6 linked regions of the Coturnix japonica genome follow. The protein of the gene in region 4 interacts with the protein of the main gene of each other region in a pairwise test. Links are inferred from orthologs where the notes say so. Each region holds a gene or a part of one and is shown on either strand. Other genes may lie near its edges.

Region 1 (4,220 bases), on a different chromosome or scaffold from region 4:
CCCTGCACATAACAGGGGGGCTGAAATCAGATGATCATTGTGGTCCTTTTCAACCCAGGCCATTCTGTAATTAATTCTATGATTCTTTACTTCACTACACCTCTTACCAGGAAAAAGGAAGAGCTCTAGTAGTTATTTCATGGGCATACATTTAACAGGTTTAATGTCCCTTCCAACCCAAACCATTCAATGGAAACCCAAGGACAGAAAAAGAAGAGCCACTCACACTAACAGACCACCAACGCCTTCTTTCAAAGCATATTTTACACAATTCTGATCATTCTTCTAGTTCAACTACAATTTCAGACTCAGTTCCCAACCCTAAATGGAATTAATTAAAGCATAAGTAATGGTGCACAGAAGTATTAAGAATGCTTTGATATGTTACCTCAATATCTACACCAACCTGACAACAGAGCATCCATGAGGAACCGCATACACCTCCCGGTTCTACGGATCCCAAACAAAGCTCCAATGTTTGCTTAAGAACTTCACAAGCCATAATGAATGGCAGTTTAAAAGAGCATCATCAAGAAACTCCAGATCAAGACCAAGCCTGTATTGAATTACATTGCAAAGTCACAAGTTAGCGTTTTTTTGGTGTTGCTTTTACATTTTGGGGGCTTTCCCTTGTGTTTGTTAATTTTCTTTTAAACACAGTGGATCAGGAGCTGCTTCTAAAGAAGGTTTTGTAAAAAGCACACAGATATGATACAGCACCTTTCCTTCCCTGCAGGCATTCAAGGCCAGGCTGGATGTGGCTCTGGGCAGCCTGGTCTGATGGTTGGTGACCCTGCACACAGCAGGGGGAACTGGATGATCACTGTGGTCCTTTTCAACCCAGGCCATTCTATGATTCATTCCATGACTGCAAGAGAGCCACGAAGCTAAGCTTAGGCACAAGTTATCAGCAGGAGCCTATCTAAACACTAAACCAAATGTGCACCTTACAATCATGATTTCTCCACTTTGGCACTGAGAGAAAAACCCGAAACATAACTCAACATAAATGTTACAAATTTAAGTCCTTATCACCAAATCTCACCACCCCAAAAGCACAAAGTTAAAGAGCAGCAGTGATAAGGCTAAGAAAAGCAGGCTGCTTTCTATACCACTCACAACTGTTATTTATGCTGGTACTGACAAATAATGTGACGAACGAGAGGGCTAAGCTGGAACTGCCCTACAGCAATTAATTCTTTCCATCTTCTCCAGTTGCTTGTCAGCAACAACACCCTTTTACCCAAACTCTCCACTAATCTAAAATATCCTTTGGAAACACAGAAAGCAACAGCCTCAAACAGACAATTCTGGGTTACCTCTATTCCTTCGAGTGCACTTTGTAATATCAGCTGGCAGTACAGGATCACACACACTTACCAATGAAAGGCAGGAGGACAAATAAAAACCAACCCAAGTAATTCTTCAGGCCAACGTTTCTCACATTTCCCAACGTGGAAATGAGAATTTTAACTTCTTTTTTTTTTTTTTTGCCTGGAAAGCCACAGCAGCCAACAGCAGAACAAGGAAGCTGACGCACTGCACACTCAGTTTCAGGAACGTGAATAAGAAAACTGAAAGTACAAAGCGTTTTTAAAGAGCAGCACTGCACAGCTGATGACCAAACTCAAGGCAGTGGCTCGAGTGTTATCAGAGCGTTCTCAAGCAGCACACAAACCATTGGCAAAGGGCTCCCCAGCCTATCTAGGGCTTAACAATCACTTATGAATAAGAGGAGCGCTGCACAGAATCACAGAATTGTAGGGGTTGGAAGGGACCTCTAGAGATCATCGAGTCCAACCCCCCTGCCAAAGCAGCTCCCTACACCATGTCACACAGGTAGGCGTCCAGGCGAGTCTTAAATATCTCCAGAGAAGGAGACTCCACCACCTCCCTGTGCAGCCTGTTCCAGTGCTCCGTCACCCTCACTGTATAAAGGAACTTCCTATGTTGTACTTTCATCCCATTACCCCTAGTCCTATCCCCACGCACTACTGAAAAGAGACCAGCCTCACCACTATGACATATACATATATAGCACTATGGCTCTCCAGGTCCATCAGGTTGCCTAGAGAGGTGCTGGATATCCCTGCACACAGCCAAGGTCAGGCTGGATGGGCTGTGAGCACTGATGGAGCTGTGTGTCCCTGCTCAGTGGGACAGGTGGTCTTTAAGGTTCCCTTCCAACCCTAAGGATGCTCTGTTGACCATGAACCCACAGACACAGCCTGTTTAGCTCCGTGCACATCAGCCCAGCCACAGTTACCTGGATGCCACATTACCTGGATGGCACACGGAGCCTCTCAGGGCAGCAGCCACCTCAACTCCTTCTGCCAACATCGAAGGACGACCTGAAAAACAACCAACCACACGAGAAAAGAAAAAAAAAGAAAGAGCCACTATGACAAACAGCCGGTTATCGGCCCCGTTCAGCTCAAGCTAAGACCCAACTTCATGCTGCACCCTTAGCGGGAGGCTCCACGTCGGTACACGGACGGGCTGCCCATGTCACGGCCTGGAGGGCCCAGCACTCCCAGCACCGAGCTTGGGACGGGTCTCCTTCCTCAGCCCCACGCCGCCCTCCCCGTTTCTCGGCTCTCGGAGCCCGCCGCTATTAGCGCAGCCCAATACATAGACAATCCGACCGGTCCCATTGATGCCCGCAGCCCCCACACACCATAACCGTGTTGGCCGCCCCGCCCCGCTCCGCCCGGGCCGCATCCACCGCCGCTCCGCCTCACCGTCCCCACTCCAACGGTCCCCGGCCGCCTCACGGCGCGCAGCCAATCGCAAAGCGTCTCCGCGGGGGCGCGCACCCTCCGGCCAATCCCACCCCGCCCTCTGCCTCCGAGAGCCAATGGCTGAGCGAGCCCTCGTGCCTCGCCCCGCCTCCTCACCTCCACAGCCAATCGGCGAGCGGACGCTTCTCCGGCGGCGGACGTGCGTGAGCTCGCCCCGCCCCTCCTCGGGAGCGCTCGTGCTCTCCAGCCAATCAACAGCCGGCGGGGCTTCGCGCGCTCCCGTCTCCTGCGCAGGCGCAGTGGGCGGTCAGCGCCTCTCCTCAGGGCGATGAGGGGACGTCGAGATGGCGGTAGTGAAGCTTCAACCCCCTCCACATCTAATACCAGCCCAGGCTGCTCAGGGCCACATCCAACCTGGCCATGAACACCCTCAAGGATGGACGGAGCATCCACAGCCTCATTGAGCAGCTGTTCCAGCACCTCATCGCTCTCACAGTAAATAACTTCCCCCTGACATCCAACCTCAACCTCCCCTCTTTGAGTTCTCTCTCAGTAACACTTTAATTCAGCCCACTGTTATGTTTTCCTTTTACCCAACTGGGATGCTGTGTAAAACAATTCTACCTCTTCTCATCCAGCGCTGCTGCCTGCCCTGTGCCCCCACTGCATTGGAGCCATCCGCATCTGAATGGAATTACAAGAGCAAAACACCTCCTGGGACTCAGCTTCAGCACAGCTGCCATTTAAAGAGCTGTGGTTTGGCCCAGCTTCAGGGGGAGGTCAGCAAAGGGTCTCGGTAAGTGTGAAGGGAGACGGCAAACCCAAATTTAGCAGCAGGGAAGAAGAAATAAAAGCAGAAAAATAAAGCCTTGGGGTTGGTTAGGTGTTGTAGGGAGAAGTGGAGGACTTGGAATAACTCAGTGTATTTTTCAATTAATCTGAAGTAAAAGGAGATATTTTCCAACAGGCTGTGTATGGGTTTTCATGTGCCTGTGTTCTTTTTCTTTCTTTTCCCATAGTGATGCAAGAATACTAAAAGAACCACAAAGAAACCACAGAGACCCAAGGAAAGGGAGCAGCCCGAGCTCCCCAGCTGTGAGGTCTCACCAGCACTGAGGCAGCAAAGTCATTCCAAGGACAAACCTCTCCTCAGTGATGAATGGTGCAAAATATGGCGCAGATTGGAGCCGCTGGCTGTCGGAAAGGTGAAGTGCAGGAGGACAGCACCACCTCAGGTCTGGTCTTACAACAGGAGAGATTTGTGCAGAATTGGCTGCTCCAAGGGGAGCTCTTGATGGCACATTGAAGAGCCAGAGCATGAAGCTTACACAACCATCGCTTGTCTGAGCTCACTGCGTTGTGACAGCGGGTGAGCCGGACCCTCCTTCATACGGCATCTCCAAATGTGACGTGGTTCATGGAGTGATTAGAAATGTCAGACTGGAAGGAATCTCTCAGATCACCAAAAACATCTCCTTC
Region 2 (4,070 bases), on a different chromosome or scaffold from region 4:
CAGATTGCTACGACAGGAGGCAGCAGGCAGAACGGGTGATGGGATTTTATTCTTCTGACCCGCCAGGAGAGTTGAAGAGCCCCCTGGGCACACACCTGCAGTCTGGCCTTCACCTTCGACTCCACGTTCTCATATTTCTGGGATTTCCATAGAGCTTTCACAGGTTTGGGCTGGCTGCGCTCCTGGGCTCGCTCCCTCTCTTTGCACTTCTTCTGAATCTCCTTTATTCTCCTCACGTTTTCCTTCTCATGGTCCTTGGACTCTTTCCCTGCACAGCGAGGGGAGACACAGCTTTCAGCCCTCAAACACTGCCAGCAGACGTAGGCTCCTGGATCACAACACCAGAGCTGACAGCTCCATCTCTAAATCCACCCGTGGAAACAGCAAGTCCTCCCCCCACCAAAGACCACACAATCTGTGCATTCTGCCCCCCATGCTGGGAGGGCTGACCCTGTTTTTGGAAGACCTCAGCTGGTTCCCTTCCAGTTTTGGCACAGTGGTTGTGGCAACCACCACACTGGCACCATCCAGAGCCTGGGGCAATGCCAGGATACAAAGCCAATAAGAGCCAGGCAGCACTTACTCTTTGCTGGCAGACCCCCACCAAGAGAGAGCCCATCGAGCTGCAGCAGGAGGCCGAGCGTTCCCTTCTGCCCCTTCTCCAAGTAGTCCCTCCCGCTGGGGCGGATGCGAGGGGCTGGTTGGGGCTGCTGGGCACTGCTCAAAGCACGGGCTGAGCTGGGAGCTGAATCCGTGGGGTGAGAGGTAAAATCCAACCGCTGAGCATTGCCTTCCAGCCTCCCCCGAGCTACAGAGAAAGAAAGAAACAAAAAGCAGGTTGGCACCATCTCACATCACTGCTTTCTTCAAGCAAGTGATGCCAAAGGTCCCCCTGCACCTCTGCCTCATGTTTTCCCTTCTTATAAGCACCCAAGGACTCACCTGAGAAAGGGCGTCTGTAATAGTCTGGGAAGACCGTAGGGTCTGGAGGGATGGGCCCAGAAATCTTGGATGGCCCTTCACACATTCTGCTGTCTCTGCAATGGAAACCGACCATGAGTGAGAGGTGAACTAAACACAGCTCACGGAGCCACTGCAGAGCTGCAGCTAATGTCAGAGAGCTCATATCCAACTGCAGGGACAACCTGCAAGTAGGAAACAACCCCAAATGGACCCCATGGCTGCCCAGTGCTGTGGGTGCCCATCCCTGCAGGTGCCCCAGGCTATGGATGGACCCTGGGCAGCCTGAGCTGGGGAGCAACCAGCCTCCAACAGGGCTTGGGGCTGGGTGGGCTTTGAGGTCCCTTGTAACTCAACCGTGCTGTGATTTCATGTAGGTAAGGCAAAGGATCCAGCAGCACCACCCCTACTGCAGGACTGACCAGCACTGATCCTCAATGTCTGCCTACAGCTTCAGCACAGAAAATCTGACTCCTGGGTCTGCAATACCAACAGATTCAGCCCTATGGGAAGAGCCCCTTTTAGGATCCTCAGCATTCCAGCACTGACAGGACACAGCATCTCCCATTTCATTTAGAAACCAATAAACAACCAGTGCAAGGCTGAGCGAGCCTGACTCATAGCAACTAATGCACTGCTGTCTTCCCTGTTCAATTACCCTTGTTGACATGAGACCCATTAGCAAAAAGCTATTATTCATCTCCCAGACACAACTGCAGAGGCAACGCAAGCAGTGCAAGCACTGCACACCAGCAGGCATGTCCAGAGGCTGCTTTGTACCCAGTCATCCTGCAAAGGCTACTCCTGAAATGCTTCAGAGTCTCAGGCTGCAGTAAAACAGCACCATTCTCTTCTTATTTAATCCCATTTAAAATGGACAGAGCTAAGCCAGAATGGACTCTCTTATACCAAGAACAAAAGCATCCTCCAAGAGATGACTCCGGGATAGTTACTGGCCTTGAGACTCACATCTGATCTCGGTCTGAACTCTCCTCCAACGCCAGTAATTTAGGTGCAAAATGACAGAGTGAAAGCAGGCCCTGTAACAGAGCAGGCAATTAGAGCAGGGGGGGCTGGAGGGGGAAAGGCAGGCAGATGGGATGGGAGGTGGGGGATGGAAGGCTCCTCCTGTACCTGAACACAGGGCCCACATCCCAGTGGCACCCTGCCCTGCTGCAGGCAGCCTGCAGATGACACCCACACCCTGATTTACAAGTCACGCTGCCTCTGGCTTTGGATCTCACAAGATCACACAGCACTATGACAGTGCTTTGCCTATCTGGGTGCTCACAGCAAACCCTCCCATGTGGGACAACAGCCCCCAGCATCCCCAGCATCATCATCATCATCTGGCCTTAGGATGAAGCATCCAAACCTACAGCTCCCTAGAGCAGGATTTGCAGGTGGCTGCTTTGCTCCTATCGGTGGGACAGCAGGGCTGGAGGATGGGGCTGTTTGGAAGCTGAGGGCTGAGCAGGCTGCATCCCACCCAGCTGCAACCCCACGCAGGAACCAGAGATGCACCGTGCAAGCAGGAGGAGAGCAGCAGGAGCACGTGGCTACAGGTGGAGCAAGGCCAGCCCTAATATGCACCTAGGAAAGCATCTGTAAAGCTGTGTTAGAAACCTGAGCATCAAAAGCAGCTGTTGCCAGCAGCAAACAGATGTACGTGAGCAGCTCCTGCTCACCCGGGCTGCAGGGGGGGCAGGGAAACTGAGCTGCCCGCAGTTCGCTCCTCCCGGCCGTTCCTCTTCCAGCACAGCTCGGTGCCACCCACCGGAGCTGCGAGCCCGGCCGGGGAGCTGCGACCTCATGCGGAGCTGGAGCTGCGTTGTTCGGCTTTGTGCTGCTCCGAGCCCGGTTCTGCAAAAAGCACGGGGGGAACAAAGGAATAAATGAATCCATCTGTGGATAAACTGCGATAAGAGCTGCGATAAGAGCTGCGATAGGAGCTGCGAGCAGCAGAGCGAGACAGCCGGGGCCGAGCAAAGCGCTCGTGGCAATTGGGCCGTTGGCTCCTTCCCTACCGTTATGGGCGGAAGGAACCGGGTCAGAACCGCTGCGGGGGGACGGGACGGGATGGGATGGGATGGATGTGATGGGATGGGATGGGGGAGGATGGAGGCACCCGCCGGGCTCCGGCCGCACCGCACGCACCCACCGCGCTCCGGGCAACCGCCGCTTCCGCCGGGGGGGGATGTTGGGGCCGTGCCGGGCTGAGCCCCGCCTGCACGGAGGTGTGGGCACGATGGGCGGCTCGGATCGGCCCCGCTACGGGCCGGGCTTAGTGCCGCGCTGTTGCTGCGTTCCCCCGGTAACGCCCCCCCGTCCATCCCGCAGCCTCCTCCCGGCCGCTGTCGGATCCCGGCGCTGCTCCATGTCCGCCCCAACGCAGGACGCAAAGTGAGGCGGCCCGTCCCCTTCGGGAGCCGGCTTCGTGCTGCACCGACCGCCGTGTTGAGCCGCACGGCGCAGCGCTGGCCATGGCCTGCAGCACATCCCTGTCCCGCAGGACTCACCTGCAGGTGCTGCAGGACCCCGGTTTGCAGCCCCCCGCTGCTGAGGGCGATGCCAACCCCGCTGCCGAGCCGCAGGGAAAGAGCAAGAAGAGGAAAAGCACGAGCAACACGCAGCCGTGCAAAAAGGTCCCACCTCGGGACGCGCTGGGTGAGCACCCATAGGGAACAGGGCAGCAGGTCGGAGCTCCGTCATCTTTCAGGTCCCTTCCAGCCTAAACCGTTCTGTGATTCCCCTCCAGGCCGGCTGCCACGTCTGCGCCCCTTGTATCAGTACATCAACCTCAGCACGGAGCTGATGTGCCCAGCAGGAGGGGAAGGGGAAGGCAGGCAGCAGGTAGGGCAGCTGCTCCAGGGCTGGAGAGAGAAGTCCAGCAAGGCTCAGTGAGCACGATGCATGGTTGGGAGCCCCTCTGACATGCAGGGCCAGGCACAGAGCACTCTGTGCCAACCAGGCCAGCAAGGAGGGGAATGACTTGCCAGCAGGTCATGGCAATGGGGAGGGAGCAGAGATGTGCAGGATGCTGTGGCTCAGCCCCTCAGAGATGGAGGCTTTGCCCTCGTGTGTGCCACTCTGGGTGTTCCCAGGGGCCC
Region 3 (4,090 bases), on a different chromosome or scaffold from region 4:
GTAGTAAAATAGCAAGTGCTACCTGCAAGCAAGCAGAGTTACACAGTCACCACCAAAGACCTCAGGTGACAGAGAGAGGTGGACCAAGGACAGCAGAAACACATGAGATCCAAACGCACAGAAATCCAAGTTCCACACCCACCCAAGAACACAGCTCCATTTGCCTGCCAAGAAAATGAAACAGCCTCATAAGAGGGAGTAATGGGAGGGACAGACTCCTCCAGTTTCCTTATATAACATACACTTCTCAACAATTCAATTGAAGAGATGAGTTTGTTCAGACATGATTTCAGTATGGCAAAGAAAATCATTTGGAGCAGTGCATTCAGTACTGAAACATTTAAACACTCCCCAAGGCATAACTGAAGTTAACTGGTACGGTCAGTTAAAAGCAGCCTCACAGTGGAGCTGGAAATGGGCACTAAAGGAAACCGTGTGCTGGAGTTAAAAGCAGGTTTCTCAAAACACACTGCTGGGATTCTCTAATAAAAGCCAAGAAAGCATGGCAACAAACAATAAAACTCAGAGTGGATGCTGCAGAACAATGGAGTGAAGGCTTTTTTTGTCAAGAAAACAACAAAAAATGAGAGAAGCGAGGTAAGTGATTTAAGCTTCAGTTTCTCATAGTGAATGATGTTTTCTTCTTAACTTTGCTAATGAGACACAGTAAGACTGTCCGGTCTGAAGTCTGCTGCTCATAAATGACTGATGACTCCAGTGCTTCATCACACCGAGCTCCTTGGGGAAAGGTGCTACTGTCCCTCTATGCCATCAAACAATAACCCAGAACCCCTGCAGATTGCTCACTGTCCCCAAAGCCAAGAACAGAACAGCCTGATTTCAACTCGAGGAAAAGTCAACACGCTTCCTATAGAAGACCTTTTTCCTCCTCCATCTGTACAGTTGTTCTTCAAGACTCACCTAAGAGATTCCAAAGCCTGGCTGGATCTCGGATGATGCGCTGCTTCACCAGGACCCCACCGAGACCTTGACACGTGGGGGAAACTGTTTGTGACAGGAGGCCCTGAAGAGGAAGATTAAGGAAACAACAACAAAAATAAGACAACTATTGGAAAAGTACCGTGACTGCTTAGCAGCCCCACATCCCGTGAGACAAAGATTTCTGGACATGAAAATATTGTGGGTAAGTCACAGGACCGGCAGCTGGAAGCTCCAAATATTATTCCTGGTTGTGCTATGAGCTTGCCATGTGACTGTGAAGATGTTGTTTACAATCCAGTTTAAAGCAAGTATAAATAGAAACGTATACTCAAAACACTTGGATACTGTGATCAGCTCCCTTGCTGTGCCCCTGCTATAGAGATAGGTGGGAAATCAACTCTTCAGATACAAACACACCCTCCCCTAGCAGATAATCTTAAGCATTACTACACTGTAGCCCTTCTCACAACAGTAACACAACTGTTTTCCCCACGGGAATTCAGCAGCAAACCTATGGCTGAAATCCACACGGAAGGGTGATTTCACAGCATCTGAAGGTTGACACAAACTAATACCCTGAGTAAACACAAGTCTTCCCCTTTCTCAGCTGTATGTTTCCCTGTCCCGCTGTGCCTCAATGGCAGAGACAAGCTGCTGTGCAGCAAGCCAGACAGGAGCAACAACTAGGCTGAAATCCCTCACCCTCCTTACTTGCTAGACAGCAACACAGCTGCTTGTGCTGCCCTGTTAGCACCAGTGCTTTTTGGGGTGGAACACTGTGGACTAATTTAAATGGATCACAGAACCGAAGCAGTTGGAAAGCCTGGCATGATGCACACAGCAATCCCACAGCTGTCCTTCCTCCACTGCCTACCTGGCTGCCTGCACTCGATCCCTGCACTTTAGAGAGCTTTAAGTCCTACAGGAGGCCTAGCTCATAGAATCACGGAATGGCTTGGGTCAGAAGGGACCTTACAGGTCATCTGTTCCAACCTCCTGCCATGGGCTGTGCCCAGGCAGTGCATTAACCTCAACCAGTGCTGAAATCAGGGCACCAGGCTCCACAGCTGAATTCCTCCACACAAGATACACCAATCTGGCTTTTCTGGACAATTTTCCCATCTGCTGACCCAGATATTTTGGGATCTGAGATTGAAACCTGCCAAATTAAGATGCATTTGCTTTGAGTGACATTCACTGAGTCAGACTTCTTCAGTATCAATCAGTCTCCCATAGTCTTTAGTAAGGATTTAGAAATAAGAATGGTCTCTCCCAGCTGTTAATTAGCACTACAGCAGTTCCACACCCTCCCAAACAACCCCAGCAGGCAGTGACACACACAGAGCACAGCCAGGCCCTGGAGCTGGTTGTGCAGGGATGCAATGGATGGTCCATCCCAGGGCCAGGCTCTGAGCACCTGATGGTGTCCCCGTTCATTGCAGGGGAGCTGGACAGACGGCCCTTAAAGGTCCCTTCCAACCCTAAGGATTCTACAATTGTATGACTATGACTTTACATACAAGTCTATGTCTCGCTCTAAACAACCCAAGCCCTTTCCCATCTCTATTCCCGCACCCATTGCCCTCCGAGCACCGCACCGCCCCGCTCCCCCCGCAGGCCCCGCATCGCCCAGCCGCGCTCCGTTACCTGCAGGCCCCGGGGCCGAGGCCGGGCCCACACCGCGGGGTTAGGCCTCCATCCGCAGCGGCCCCGCAGCAGCAGGAGCCGAAGCAGCGCCATGAGCCGCCGGCCGCGCCGCAACCGGAGCCGCAGGCCTCAGCGGGACGGAAGCGGGCGGTGAAGGGCGGGCGGCCATCTTGGGGCCGGGCGGGCCGCGGCCGTGCTGCCATGCCGCAAGATGGCGGACACGGGGGGCGGGACAGCGCGGGGCGGGAGCGCGGTTAACGCAGCGACGGGGAGCTCCGAGCTCAGCACCGGGATGAGCCCGCACCTGACCATTGATTGCTTTGATTTGCCATTTTATCCCCTGCAGAAATATACATTCTTCCTTCTGTCCTGTTTTCCTCCCCGGGATGGCCATGCAGGCCGTCCTCTCAGTATTGTCACTGTTGGTTCTCCCAGTTCACCCACCCTGATGTACCTCAGGCGTTCTTGAAGTGCAGATTGCAGGGCTACGTCAAGGAATCATAAATCATTATCAGTGTGAAGGATCTCTTCCTTCCCAGCAGGTCTGAATTACCATCCTCTTTCCAGAAGAGTCTCTCAGGACGTTAATTGTCATCTGCCCCCTGGGATGTATCTGAGCAAACCTTCCACCAGCAAGCTCTATTAGCATGTTAATGTCCCCGTCACTCCTGGAAGTCTCTGTGTATCACTGCCTTAATCGTCAAACAGCTTAATTTACAGACACAAAATTAAGCTGCTTGCAATTAGTCTGTATGGGCCGGTCAGAGCTTGCAGCGTGTACCTCGCTACCACAGCTTCGCTCAAGCCATGTCACAATGTGCTTCTACCGACTCTGTGAATAGACCTGTTGCTAATTAAGCCTATCTATTTTTAAGACTTGCATCATTTCAATTGAATTACAGCCCGATTAGAAGTGAAGCTGTGCAGTTTGCTTAGGACAGTCCTGCCTTCTGCCATGCTGACCCAACAGGGAGCCAAACGGGTTTTGCTACACCTGCCTTATGCTTTTTTCTGCAGCCTCAGTGCAGGCAAACTTGCACCCATTTAATGAATTAAGGTTCCGAGAGCTGAGTGAGTCCAAGCTCCAGCACAGACCCTGGTCTATCTGAGCCTATGTGGGCTCACTGACTGCAGCAAACAGCATTTCAGGTCTGTGGGGCTCTTTCTGGGACCCTCTCAGCCAGAAGATGTTGGCCTCGATGTGACAGATCTGCAAGGACTGGTTATTTTCAGACACACCACATAGCTGGAATTGACGCAATTCCTATTCCTCTTTCACACTGTGCCTCAAAGACAAGCAGATGACGAGCCACCAGGAAGGGGGTGCTGGGGTCCTTGCCTTGCTCGTGCCAACACAAAGCTATGCCAGGAAGGAGAAGCAAGAAGTTCTGCTCTGTGTGCAGCCAGCAATCGCCATGGTTGCACTGCGACTCCTGCGTGGGCGGCTCAGGCTGAGCTGTGCATGGGAAGGCAAGTGCTGTCCTCTCTGCATGTGAGAGAT
Region 4 (3,500 bases):
TCTCATATTGGCTGCCAATAAATATAACAAATGTATTTATGCCAAGTACTTCATTATGAGGAGCAGGGAAAATCCCTAAATATAGAACGCAGGCAATTCTAATAAACTGGGTCAGCTTAATGAAACCTCCAGTCACCTCATTTTCATCTTTATTGACAGCATGCTACAGGTAACACAGATTTATGCACACATAACAATCACAAGGATAAAACATTTTCTCAAGCTGAAAGAAGTAAGAAGGATTTACCCAACTGTCTCTCAGGAAATAGATTTGGTTCTTAGAGATCTGAGCTCACAAAGAGACGTAAACTTGTTAATAAGACACGTTCCTTTTTCTTTTGTATTAAACAATGAATTCCTCAAACGCAGGATTTAACTGGTTCCCATAGAGTCATATGCAACTATTGATCATAAGGCCACTACAGAGCTGCTGAAACAGATTTGGATTAGTACAGCCCATCCACTAACAGGAAGCTCAGCTCAGAACTGTACTGTGCATTCCCCACTCCTCCCATTTAATGAACTTGTCAGAAAGAGCTGGAAAGTCTGCAAGCAAACACATGAACCATTTGGGAATTTCCACAGCCTGGGTAACTCTGAGCAGATACGGCAGCCCTGCCAGGAGGTGAGGCTGCTTAACACCTTCCTTCATGTTGCTTTGTTTATAACACTGTCAGACATTAAAGCCTCAGAGACAGCCCTCGAGCCTTCCTCAGACAGGTCATGCCCAAGACAACACCTCCCTGTTACTTCCAGCTCACAGCACCAAAGGGGGCATTTAATTGTGCCTACTGCTTAGCAAGCTGATGGCTGCTTAGAGATTACAGGTCTGATTGATAGCAGCTATTAACAGCCTCATCATAGCTATGTAAAGAAAAATGCTGATCAAAGCCCAAATTGGATATGTGAAATGGGGCGGTATGTGAATATTTCCCTCACAAAGTTGATGTAGAGTAGTCATCCTGCCCCAGCATATCCTTGTCTACAAAAGCTTTGAGTCTTCAACACTGCCAGTCTGCCAGGGTGATTCTGATATACCTCAACCCATTCCAATTGCTTTCCTTTCACTTGAAAGACCCACTCAGTCATATTTACAGGGGGATAGGATGCTTTGGTCCCTCTCCAGAAAATAAATGTTATCCTGCTAACTCTACTGTAGAGCAAACCACACTGCATACCTGCCATAACCTCAGTACTTTTCATGTACATACTCCTCCACAGTTAGCAGAAATTGGTCCTTAGTTTCCAGCTGTGTTAGCTAATGTTGCCTGATTTTCCAAATAGCAACAGTATGGACTGTAGAAAACTATGGTCTAGAGAATCAGAGAATCATAGAATGGCCAAGGTTGAAAAGGACCACAGTGATCATCCCGTTTCAACCCCCCTGCTATGTGCAGGGTCACCAACCACCAGACGAGGCTGCCCAGAGCCACATCCAGCCTGGCCTTGAATGCCTGCAGGGATGGGGCACCCACAACCTCGTTGGGCAACCTCTTCCAGTGTGTCACCAACCTCTGTGTGAAAAACTCCCCCTAATATCTAACCTAAACCCCCCCCGTCTCAGTTTAAAACCAATCCCCCTTGTCCTGTCACTATCCACCCTCATAGACAGCCATTCCCCAATCCTGTTTATGTGCTCCCTTCAACTACTGAAAGGCCACAATGAGGTCCCCCTGGAGCCTTCTCTTCTCCAAGCTAATGAAGGTCATGTCACCCCATAAAAAGCCAGACAGCTGCACAGCCTGCATTACACTGGTTTTAACTTCAGTTAAATGGTAATAATCCAGCAATTTTCTCTCAACTTGCAGGGAGATTGTGAAGATACCCTAGTAATGGCTGGCACAGACAAGCTCACAGTGACTTTATTAATCTGTCCTCTGGATGAAAAACATAAGGCATGGACTATGGAACCTGAATGGGAAAGGCAGCAAGCACTTTGCTTGAGATGTGATAATACTCTTACCAAAATCTGTACTCTAAGATCACCTGAACAGTTGTCTGTTAACATGCAAGAAGGGCCAACCAACAGTCACACATGAGATTTTAATGTGGGTATTTGCTGGCTTCTGATTGTCAGCTCTGTCACCAAATGTGTTATTTCAAGGCTGTTCCATGGATAAATACTGTATATAGAATGAGGTAGGTATATAAAATGAATAATTGTATTTATTTTTTTTAATTTTAGAATTGGTTAAAATTAAATACAGTTGTGGGATCTTTGATATTTACATAGAAAGCTTTTCTGTTGAGCTAGCTACCATAGGTCCAAAGCAGTAGACTCAAGGGCACATCACAGACCTAAATATAACCCCCTCTTCCCTGTCCTTTTCACCACCTACCAAGCAACATCAACATTGAACAACTGTGCCCAACTCCCAGCAGGGACTAAGGGAGCCTGCACTCCTGCCTGGCTTACCAAAGTGGAAACACAACCAGATATAAGGTCCCAGAAGTGGGCAGTGGGACTTCCATTACCTTTTGGCTGCTCAGGAAGACTTTCCCAGGAAAGGTGTTTTCTCATTTAAGATGGTAGGCAATACAGAACACTGCTTAAAATGAGTCAAAAGGAAATCTTTTCCTGCATGATGTATATAATCTAATGAAATCTGACAGTTCCTGTTTTTCTGTATAGCTGAACAGAAGCGAATGCATATGGACCGCTAGCGCTTGGACTGCAAAAACCAGCCAAGATTCCCATTAAGGAGGAAAAGTTTCTGCAGGCAAATCACATTAATTTCCAAAAGATGTTCTTTGGAAAAAAAACAGAAGATCCATTTAAGGATAAATTCAACCAGCACACCTTTTCCTATCTAAACATCTCTATTTATACACTAGCAGGTGACTTGTATGCTGGGAAATGCTGGAGGAACACGGTGACAACTTCCAGTCACAGATCAGACACCACATCAAGGTCAGTGCCAGAAAAGGTTACGTTTATTCCTACTGATCATGTATTGCTTTGCTTTAGGATTTACTTCTTCGTGGTTTGAGAACTAACTTCTGGCAGCAACAAGTAAGCAAACACTCACAACCCAGCACACAAAAGTGTCAAAGCCACCTGCTTACCTCCTGCAAAAACTTCTCACCCATTGGGCCAAAGTGATGACCTGGAGGCCTAATTCCTGACACTACCAGCCCAGAACTGAAGAGTCTTGGCTTCTGGAGGTCAGGTTTAAATTTGTCATACAGGATGCTGGGGGCCTTCCCCTCCCCTCCACCAGATGCCTTCTGCTCTGTGGAGATGGGCACTGTGCATGCTGCGGTACCGTATGGCAGCCCTGCTGGTGCAAATGAAGGGTCAAGCTGCTCTATTGAACGAGGGTTTCTTCTGATGTATGTGATGATTTTAGGTCTCACGGGTTTAGGCTTGGGTATGGCAGGTTTCACCTCCATGCTTTCTTCCAGTTTCTCACTGCAGTCACTGTCAGCATCCACCTTATCTGTGAGGGAGCCCTTGGAGTGAACCAGGATAGGTTTGGGGATTGCGCTGCTGCTGGCAG
Region 5 (3,964 bases), on a different chromosome or scaffold from region 4:
TAGTTGTTTCTTAAAGTATCCCCTAGAAGTTAAGTTTCTAAACTCTTCATCGTAATAGGAATAGAGGGTTACAAGAAAGGTTGACAAAAACAGCCCCACTGAAGTATTTAATTAAAAATATATTAGGAGTGTTAAGTAACTGGGATGACTGTTAGAGGACAGAAAGAGAAACCTTTGCTTGATGTGACAAGGTCCCAGAGAAAATCTAATATTAGCTAAAAAATGCTTTCCAGAACCTATGGATGCTCTGATCATAGTGGGATCCCTACTACAGGGACATCTTCCAACTTGCCAGCAGCATGCCAGTCACAAGGGTCTTGTACAAAAGGTGCTTCTGTAGTTACTGTGCATCACGAACCAGGGATCATAAATGAACATGAAAATCCAAAAAAAGCAAAGCCAGAAAAATTTGATTCTGAAAAATATTAACAGGGGTATTATGTGCACCTCACAGGAGGTAATTATTCTGCTCTATTTAGCAGTGCTGAAGTCATAGTTTGAAGTCACTGTGTCTAATTTTAGACATGGCAGCATAAGAGGGAAAGGAAGTCCAGGGGAAAAAATGGAAGGAATGGTAGATTTACAAAATACAAGGTCTGAGAAAGACTTTGAAGAACGGGCATTGTTTAATTTATTGATTAAATGTTGAGATAGAGCCAATTAGCAATATAAATGAAAGAATATTAAGGACACGATTGATTTATTTTATTGCCTGAAAAGTCTGAGCAAGAAACATTTGACTTAATGATAAAAATGAAAACCAGTTGAAAACAGAAAAAAAAAACAAAAAAAAAACAAAACTTAATTTTATGATAAGTGATGGAGCTGCTATGTAAGTAAGGGCTCTCACAGAATATGTTTATAAACAATTCACATAAGAAGTCGTGATGAACACTGCAGGTGGATCAGATCCTTCTTCAGTTACAGAATGGTGAGCTCTGAACCAGTACTACACTTCTATGATGTCTTTTATTGACTTTGATACTTTATGCCTCAATATTAATTACTATTTTCTAAAACATGTTAGAAAAGGAAACAAACAGACATACCTGGTGTATGGGAAACTGTTGATCACAACCTGAATCTCTGATTAACCACCTGAAGCAAGCAATGAGTCAGCTGTGGGAGCACAGGTGAAGGTAATTCAGCTCTGCTACCAGAAGGGGTGGAGCTTGGCTCCATCTTTCCCAGGTCTCATTTAAGGGCTGACTGCCACTAAGGCAGCATCTCTTCCTCTGGAGATTGTTCCTCTATGGAGTTTGCTGTGAACCTTCAACAACAATGAGCATTTTCCCTTTATCCTTCTATCACGATGATCCTTTGTGTGGCAAAGCTAATCCAACAGCACAAAACCTGAATTCTGTGCTCTAAGTCCAGTGGTGGCAGACTACTGGACAGCTGAAACCCTAACCAAGAGAGGTTTTCTTAAGCACTGCTGTTCTGGAGGCAATGTAGTTAGACTAGCACTAGAAATGGTGAAATTGTAACATGCAGAAATAGAAGGAAATACAACACAAATTAGTTATTCAAATAAATATCAGTAAGCCAAAAGGCATTCAACCCAAACAAACATGAGTTATTTAGTTACTATTAGTTATTTAAATCAGGTTTTATCAATAATAAGTAAAAGTAGTAATTTATTTTAAAGCAAATCCATTCAAGTAATGTATCTAATTTGGCTCAATTGCCAGGATAAACACTATAACATTATCTTTTAAGATTCTTTGTTCCAAGCTTTCCAATTTCCTTTTACTTCTCAAAACATGTCAACTACTCAAGCTTTTGCACTGAGAAATTTCACAGTACAAATTTGCTCTTTTTCTAGGGTTGACTGGGAAGGAACTAAGCTTCCTGGCTTAGTGCACGGCCACTGCATAGCACCTGGAAGTGCTCCTGGAGGAAAACAGCCAAGGGTTAATAGGGCAGGAGGCGACCAAGTGCTGTCTCAGGAGCTTATCTCCTGTCACTTTCTGGTCCAATATCCCTGTATAGTTGACTGGTCTACTTTTTTCTTTTTTTCCCCCATTTATTTTGTTTCATGCTGAAATATTTACTTGGATATAACATATTGGACCAATGCTTTATTCCTTACCTGCAGGACAGCCTCCAGCTCGTGACCCCAGCATGAGAAGGACACAGAGCTGTTGGAGCAGCCACAGAGATTATAAGAGGGTTGGAGCACCTCTATGAAGAAAGGTTGAGGGATCTGGGTTTGTTCAGCCAGAGGGGAGACCTCATTGAGGACTTCCAGTACTTGGGGAAAGCTTATAAATAAGATGGAGGATGATGGGGACAACCAGTCATGGCAGGTCAGGACTAGGCTGTCAGTAAGGTTCTTTTTGAGACAGAACATCCTTTGGTTCTTAGAACGTGTTTCTTTCTTGTGCTTCTTTCCACACACATTTTCATTTTTAGGCTTCTTGGAAAGGAAAAGCCAGTGTTTTACAACAGGTTACCTCTGAACTAAGATATGGTGAGAAATCACTTTTAAAAACCGTGTCTTGTTATGTTGCCCTTCAGTTGTGGTCCAGTGAGTTGAAGAGATGGAGAGGCTCCCAGTATGGCAGATGAATGTGAAGTTGTACAGAGCACCTTATTTCTCCCTCGTTTTCTTACGTATTGTTTACTACACTCCTACCGTTAGCAGGCAAGTTCCCCCCAGCTGCTCCTCCCGCAACAAAGGCAGGCAGTGCCGAGCTGTACAGCCGAGCTGTAGAACAGCGAAGAAGAGCCCGAAGAGCGGCCGTGACGCGAGGCCGCGCAGCCCACAGCACGGCGCCGAGTGGCGGGCTGCTTTCCCGGGCGCCACCCCGCCGTCCCCATTGGCGGAGCTTCCCGTTTGAAACGAGCCGCGCGCCGCGGCAGGCGGCGTCTTTCATTGGCGGCCGCTGGAGTGGGGCGGGTCGAAGCGGAGGGCGCTGCCGTCAATCGCAGGAGTTACTGAGAGGCAGCGGGCGGGGCGGGGACAACCATCTCTCGCGGCATTGGCTGCGGGCTCCCCGGGCGCGGCGATTCTCGCCAATCCCCGCAGAGCTTCCTTCCTTCCCCGGCAGGCCGCTCCACCTCTTCTACCTGATTGGCCAAAGCCCACAATTGCTGCCTCGCGATTGGCGAATTGAGTGGAAGCGGGCGGGGCGAAAGCCGCGGGGCGGCCATGACTGAAAGTTGTGTGCCTGCCGGGCTGCGCCCTGTACCGCGGTAGGGTCCTGTTGTTCGTGCTCTGTAGGAGATGGAGGAGGCGCGGGCGCGCAAGCTGGAGGCTGGCAGAGCCAAGGTGAGGAGCGGCGCGTCGCTGCTCTGCGGGCTGTGCCGCGCTGCGCGGCGGGCGGAGGCCGCGGGGTGCAGCCTGGCGGAGAGCGGCTGTTCTCCTCCCTGCCCTGCGGGTCCGCGTTTGTTTGCGTTGTTTTTGTTTCTTCCTCTCATGTTTCTGCCGTTTCTCAAGGTTTGTTTCCAGGAGAACAGCCTGGGAGCGGGAGCTGCGTGCTTTGCCGCTCCAGCGCCGTTCCCGCGACCCATCGGGGCTGCAGCCAGGGCAGGCCCTCGGGCGGCCGGCTGGACGGTGAGGCCCCGCCGCGCGGCTGGGGGCAACGGAGAGTTCTGGGTGCGAGCGTCGCCACCGCTCCCTTTGGTACCTGCCATCTGCGGAGTGTGCCCGTATGGTCAGTGCTTGATGTGCAACTGGGAGCTACCGGCTTGTGCTTTGTTTTGGTGACCGTGTCGTTCAGGAAGCCGGTTTGTGGTGGCGTGTGGTTCGGTATTTCTGCTGTTCTTTGAGCTGTTGCTGCTGTGTGCTTTCAGAAGTTACTGCTGAATGAGATAGTTACATGCTAGCCCTCAGCCACGAGGTCTCTCAAAGAGATTTGGATCTATGGCACGTTGAGTGTGAGTCAGTAGTGTGCCCAGGCAGCCGGCGAGGCCAACTGAAGTCTGAAGTGTATCATCCATGATGCTGTTAGCCATCAAG
Region 6 (4,017 bases), on a different chromosome or scaffold from region 4:
GATTCATTTTGGCTGGCAGCGTGCGGAGCAGGGTAAACAACACACGAGCAGTTCCAGGGCGCTCCAAACGCATCAGGCACACTTGGAGGCCCTTCTTCTTCCCATAGCCAAGGGTGTCTGTGCCCCCAAATTGCTCAGCTCCCTCCTGCCCCATTCCCAGGCTGGCATAGGGCATCTCTGCCCCTATGACCCCTGCAGCCCCTCTGTGGTTGCTCCTATGACAGCCCTCCCTCCCTCCATTTCTATTTCCTTGTTTTGGAGATTTCTCTCTGCTGCATCCCTGTTCTCTACCTGCAGAGCACATCTCAGCCTGCAGAAGAGCTTGTGAAAACAGCCAATTACAACTGAAACAATGGAACGAATCAAGGTAAAGCATCTCCATGGTGAAGGTAAAGCAAAGCACTGAGCAAAAGATCATGCAAAGCCTCATGCTGGGCTTTGGGTCATTCCCACTCAGTGTGGGGTCAGAGCAGTGCTTGTACTAGAGGTAGGCAGCAGGTGAGGAGCTGGATGTCACCCACTTCATTTCTTTCTGTTCCATTTGCACCATGCACTGCGGCTCCAGGATCTTATTACTTCCCACCTCATCCCTTCAACACATGCAGCCAGGGCTAAATGACTTCTGTGCCTCATTAGCAATGGGATCACCACTGTGTTAGCTCAGAGGTGTTTCTCTTCCTGCCTCAAACACCCCAATCCAAAGAGGGCACCTTGTGTCTCCTGCTCTGCAAAGGGTATTTTGGGAGGATCTCCCACACTTCTCACTGGGTTTAATGCCAAAGGCCCCAGGAGCAAAGGGCATACAGGGCACAGCCAGGGTTCTGCTGGTAGCCACCAGGAAGGGATGCAGCTCCAGTACAGGAGGAATGAATGAGATTCATTAAGTTGCAGTGATAAGCTCCAGATGTTGGTAATGGTGCTTAATGGATCTAATGCACTTCTCATGGCTGTGCATCACCAATGCACCTTTGGAGACCCTTGGTCTATCACTCCTATCACTCCTGCTGCTTCTCGGTGTTTTTGAGACTAAAACGAGCATTAAAAGTGGCCTGTGGGTTGTGCAGCTTGGGTTCCAAATCCAATCTCAGCCAACTACATGTTCTCATGCCCACTGCCCATGGCTCCAGGGGTGGGAAACCCACCGCCCCCCGGGCAGCTCTGCCAGTGAGGGGAGGGGGCGGCCCTCAGGAGGGACCTTGAGGGGGGCGGGTGATGATGCTGCAGCCGTGGGTCTGAAGGGGTTTGTGCTATGGAGGGAGGTGCTCGGCTCTGTGTACTGCTGTTCCCTGGGAGACGGGGTGGGTGTTAGGTTCCCGGGCAGAGAAGGGTTTGTTGCCGTGGAAGGAGAGCTGGGGTTCCTCAGTGGCTGTTCCTGGGTGTAGGAGGTTGAAAAGGTGGTTTGCTACGAGGTGGGTTCGTTGTCATGGCTGAGAAAGTAAAGTTTGTATTAGCATAAGGAGCACTAACAGCTCCAGCGCTGGAGCGATGCCGGCGCCAGGTGCGCCCAAACTCAGCAGAGCTGAGGCACCTGTGGCATCTAACGCTCAGCTCAGGGCTGCTGCACCGCCGGAGCCGGCCAAGGACGGTGGAATCAAGGTGACATTATGCAGCAAAGTGCCGAACCCGAAAGACTTCGTGCGCATTCGGCCTCTGCCTTCATCGGCTCAGACAGATGGGAAGGTGTTGGCCAGGAGTTTTACGCTGTACCGGAGCCGCGGGCCGCCGTCAGAGCAAGTGTTCAAGGAGACGTGGCAGCGGAGGGAGCAGCAGCGCACACAGGCGCTATTCACCCCCCGAGGGAAGCCCTACCGAGAGCTGGGCGATCTGTCATGTGCCGACCCAAAGCATTTCACCCTGCGCTCCTTGGGACAGCTCGCAAAGGTAGAGCCGGCTTTCTGCTTGTCTTTGTATAGGAAACAAAGGCTTCTCTTTTAAGTCCCCGCATGCAGGGGAGGAGAATGATTGCTGTTGTTTAAATCAGTGTTCCCTGCCTTTCTTGTGGAGAGCTGCAGTCTGCCCTGCTGCTGGTACAGGGTGTTTGTACAGGCTGGGCAACTGCTTTGACCCGTGCTATGGTTTGGGAGCTGGCTTTTGTGACTGGGAGCAGCTGTTAGAATGGAGTCGGAGCAATGGAAAGTTAATGAATGAAAAAGAAACTGTGGAATAATGAATGTGATTTAATTAAGGGAGAAGGTACAAGGTGTGTCTGGACAGTGGGAGGAGAGAAACCATTTTGAGGGTGTGAGGATGAAGGGTTAAAAAGCAAGAGCAGACAGTGCTGGTATTTAAAGGGTCAAAGGCTCCAAGTTGTGGATGTCCCAGCCCTGGAGATGTTCAAGGCCAGGTTGGTTGGGGCCCTGGGAAGCCTGCTCTGGTGTAACCAACTGCTGTTGGTTTTCCTTTTCCCATCCTAAGAAGTAACAGTTACCACACTGGGACAACAAAGCATTTGCCTGGCCCTGAATGCTTTGCTCCATCCCCACAAGGAAGGCCCAGAACTTCAGGCTGTTCTCCCTCCCAGCCTCATTATTCAAGTTGCCAGTGTGCTTTGCAGAAACCAATTTAAGCTTTCATTTTCTTTTTCCAAACATACAAAACCAAAAGTGGGTTCCTAACGGCCCAATTTTAAAGTACTTTATGACCTGCATTTTGGTTTTGTGTGAATTATTTATGCCCAAATCCTTCCATCCCTTAGCAGTCCCCATAGCATCCTGAATACCTTAAGGATATTGTAGGTACCGGGTGCATCCAATTCCAGGTGCCTGAGAGTGCTATGAAATATGTTGTATTTGATGGATGACAAATACAACAAAAACAGCAAGGAGCTAATAAAGGCCCTGGGAATTCAGGGGGCTTCAGTATGTTGAATCTGCTGGCAAATGTCACAGATATGATAACAAAAGAAGCCCTTAGCAGCTAAAAACATTTTCATAATGAGTGTGCTGAGATGGTTACACAAAATGATATGGGCAGAGGATATTATATGTGGTGATTACATGTTTAGGGTCCTTTTTATAGCTACTGGATGCTAACAAATGTGTTTAGAGAAGCTGTATTTGTCCACTGATGCTGTGTCTTTATTAAGTACATTTGGTGGCTGAAGCCTGAGAGCTGATATTTGAATGTTCTGATTGTTGCATTGGAAACTGCTGCTCTGTGATCACACAGTGGAAGTGGCATCTGTCTTGCAATAAAAGCTGGCTCGGTGCAGAGACAGAATTCCCTTCCACTAAAACTCTCTGGAATGAAATGAGCCCATTTCCAGACTAGTAAGAGTATCTGGGAGGAAAAACTTAGCAAGTGTCCCTCAAACTCTTCACAGAGAGACTGATGAGGTGCTGGAACAGCTGCCCAGAGAGGCTGTAGATGCTCCATCCCTGGAGGTGTTCAAGGCCAGATTGGATGGAGCCCTGGGCAGCCTGGTCCAGTACCAGATCTGGAGGTTGGTGGTCCTGCCTGTGGCAGGGGGTTGGAAACTGATGATCCTTGGGGTTCCTTCCAACCCAAAGCCGTTCTGTGATTCTATGAACCTTTTGAATGTCCAGTACAAATAATTGGAAGTTACTTCATTCAGTCTGAGGGATTTTTTTTCTCTCTTTCTCAAAGGTCAACCACGTATTGCAGACAGCACTGATCCATGGATGCTTTCCAGACAGTATTTTTGATCTTTCAGAGCAATGTGTTAAAGGTCTTTTTCTTATTCCTTCATGTGGCAGCTCATGTGGTGATTGGCCGCCCTTTATCGATGTTTATGTAGCTTCTTTGCTTAATTGCTATGACAAATTCATTTGTTAAGCTTCTGAAGTGGCTCGTTGACTTTTCACACGGAAGAGAGGTGGCCTTTCTGACAGAGCCCTAAAAACAATCCAGGTTCACGAAATTATTACCGTCAAAGCCTACTCCATGCTTGTCATAAAAACCTATACTGTAATTCTGTGCTTTAGATAAATAGATCACTAGATAAGATTGACGGCAATATCAGCAATGAAAGGTTTTAAGCTGGAAACTGGAGAAGAA

The links. The genes of interacting proteins can lie anywhere in the genome.
Region 1: the proteins of MTUS2 (region 4) and DTNB interact in binary tests that used the Homo sapiens proteins (3 or more experiments, as listed by UniProt). The two-hybrid records come from large-scale screens. The link is inferred for Coturnix japonica from reciprocal best matches to the Homo sapiens genes MTUS2 and DTNB.
Region 2: the proteins of MTUS2 (region 4) and ENKD1 interact in binary tests that used the Homo sapiens proteins (3 or more experiments, as listed by UniProt). The link is inferred for Coturnix japonica from reciprocal best matches to the Homo sapiens genes MTUS2 and ENKD1.
Region 3: the proteins of MTUS2 (region 4) and SPG7 interact in binary tests that used the Homo sapiens proteins (3 or more experiments, as listed by UniProt). The two-hybrid records come from large-scale screens. The link is inferred for Coturnix japonica from reciprocal best matches to the Homo sapiens genes MTUS2 and SPG7.
Region 5: the proteins of MTUS2 (region 4) and C7H21orf58 interact in a two-hybrid assay, tested with the Homo sapiens proteins (3 studies listed by BioGRID and IntAct). The two-hybrid records come from large-scale screens. The link is inferred for Coturnix japonica from reciprocal best matches to the Homo sapiens genes MTUS2 and C21orf58.
Region 6: the proteins of MTUS2 (region 4) and CCDC60 interact in binary tests that used the Homo sapiens proteins (3 or more experiments, as listed by UniProt). The two-hybrid records come from large-scale screens. The link is inferred for Coturnix japonica from reciprocal best matches to the Homo sapiens genes MTUS2 and CCDC60.

Annotation. Positions count from the first base shown.
Region 1 is NC_029518.1:95,642,749-95,646,968, forward strand, and holds the start of DTNB (dystrobrevin beta), read right to left. Parts: upstream 2,801-4,220; 5' UTR 2,742-2,800; exon of another isoform or gene 2,678-2,741; intron 2,352-2,677; 5' UTR 2,283-2,351; intron 740-2,282; exon of another isoform or gene 721-739; intron 1-720.
Region 2 is NC_029526.1:1,873,260-1,877,329, forward strand, and holds the start of ENKD1 (enkurin domain-containing protein 1), read right to left. Parts: upstream 2,801-4,070; 5' UTR 2,775-2,800; coding exon 2,649-2,774; coding exon of another isoform or gene 2,587-2,648; intron 2,574-2,586; exon of another isoform or gene 2,554-2,573; intron 2,531-2,553; exon of another isoform or gene 2,001-2,530; coding exon 1,930-2,000; exon of another isoform or gene 1,870-1,929; intron 1,038-1,869; coding exon 943-1,037; intron 809-942; coding exon 584-808; intron 269-583; coding exon 96-268; intron 1-95. Other genes in the region: uncharacterized protein LOC116653968, read left to right, coding at 3,158-3,197, 3,301-3,627, 3,719-3,813. UniProt on the Homo sapiens protein: Microtubule-binding protein which regulates microtubule organization and stability. Promotes the stability of astral microtubules and facilitates the proper orientation of the mitotic spindle.
Region 3 is NC_029526.1:16,665,999-16,670,088, reverse strand, and holds the start of SPG7 (paraplegin), read right to left. Parts: upstream 2,801-4,090; 5' UTR 2,683-2,800; coding exon 2,590-2,682; intron 1,025-2,589; coding exon 922-1,024; intron 23-921; coding exon 1-22. UniProt on the Homo sapiens protein: Catalytic component of the m-AAA protease, a protease that plays a key role in proteostasis of inner mitochondrial membrane proteins, and which is essential for axonal and neuron development.
Region 4 is NC_029516.1:157,076,712-157,080,211, forward strand, and holds part of MTUS2 (microtubule-associated tumor suppressor candidate 2), read right to left. Parts: coding exon 3,067-3,500; intron 1-3,066. UniProt on the Homo sapiens protein: Binds microtubules. Together with MAPRE1 may target the microtubule depolymerase KIF2C to the plus-end of microtubules. May regulate the dynamics of microtubules at their growing distal tip.
Region 5 is NC_029522.1:2,271,132-2,275,095, forward strand, and holds the start of C7H21orf58 (uncharacterized protein C21orf58 homolog), read right to left. Parts: upstream 2,801-3,964; 5' UTR 2,354-2,800; coding exon 2,093-2,353; intron 714-2,092; exon of another isoform or gene 1-713. Other genes in the region: PCNT (pericentrin), read left to right, coding at 3,230-3,274.
Region 6 is NC_029530.1:8,620,509-8,624,525, reverse strand, and holds the start of CCDC60 (coiled-coil domain-containing protein 60), read left to right. Parts: upstream 1-1,217; 5' UTR 1,218-1,485; coding exon 1,486-1,881; intron 1,882-4,017.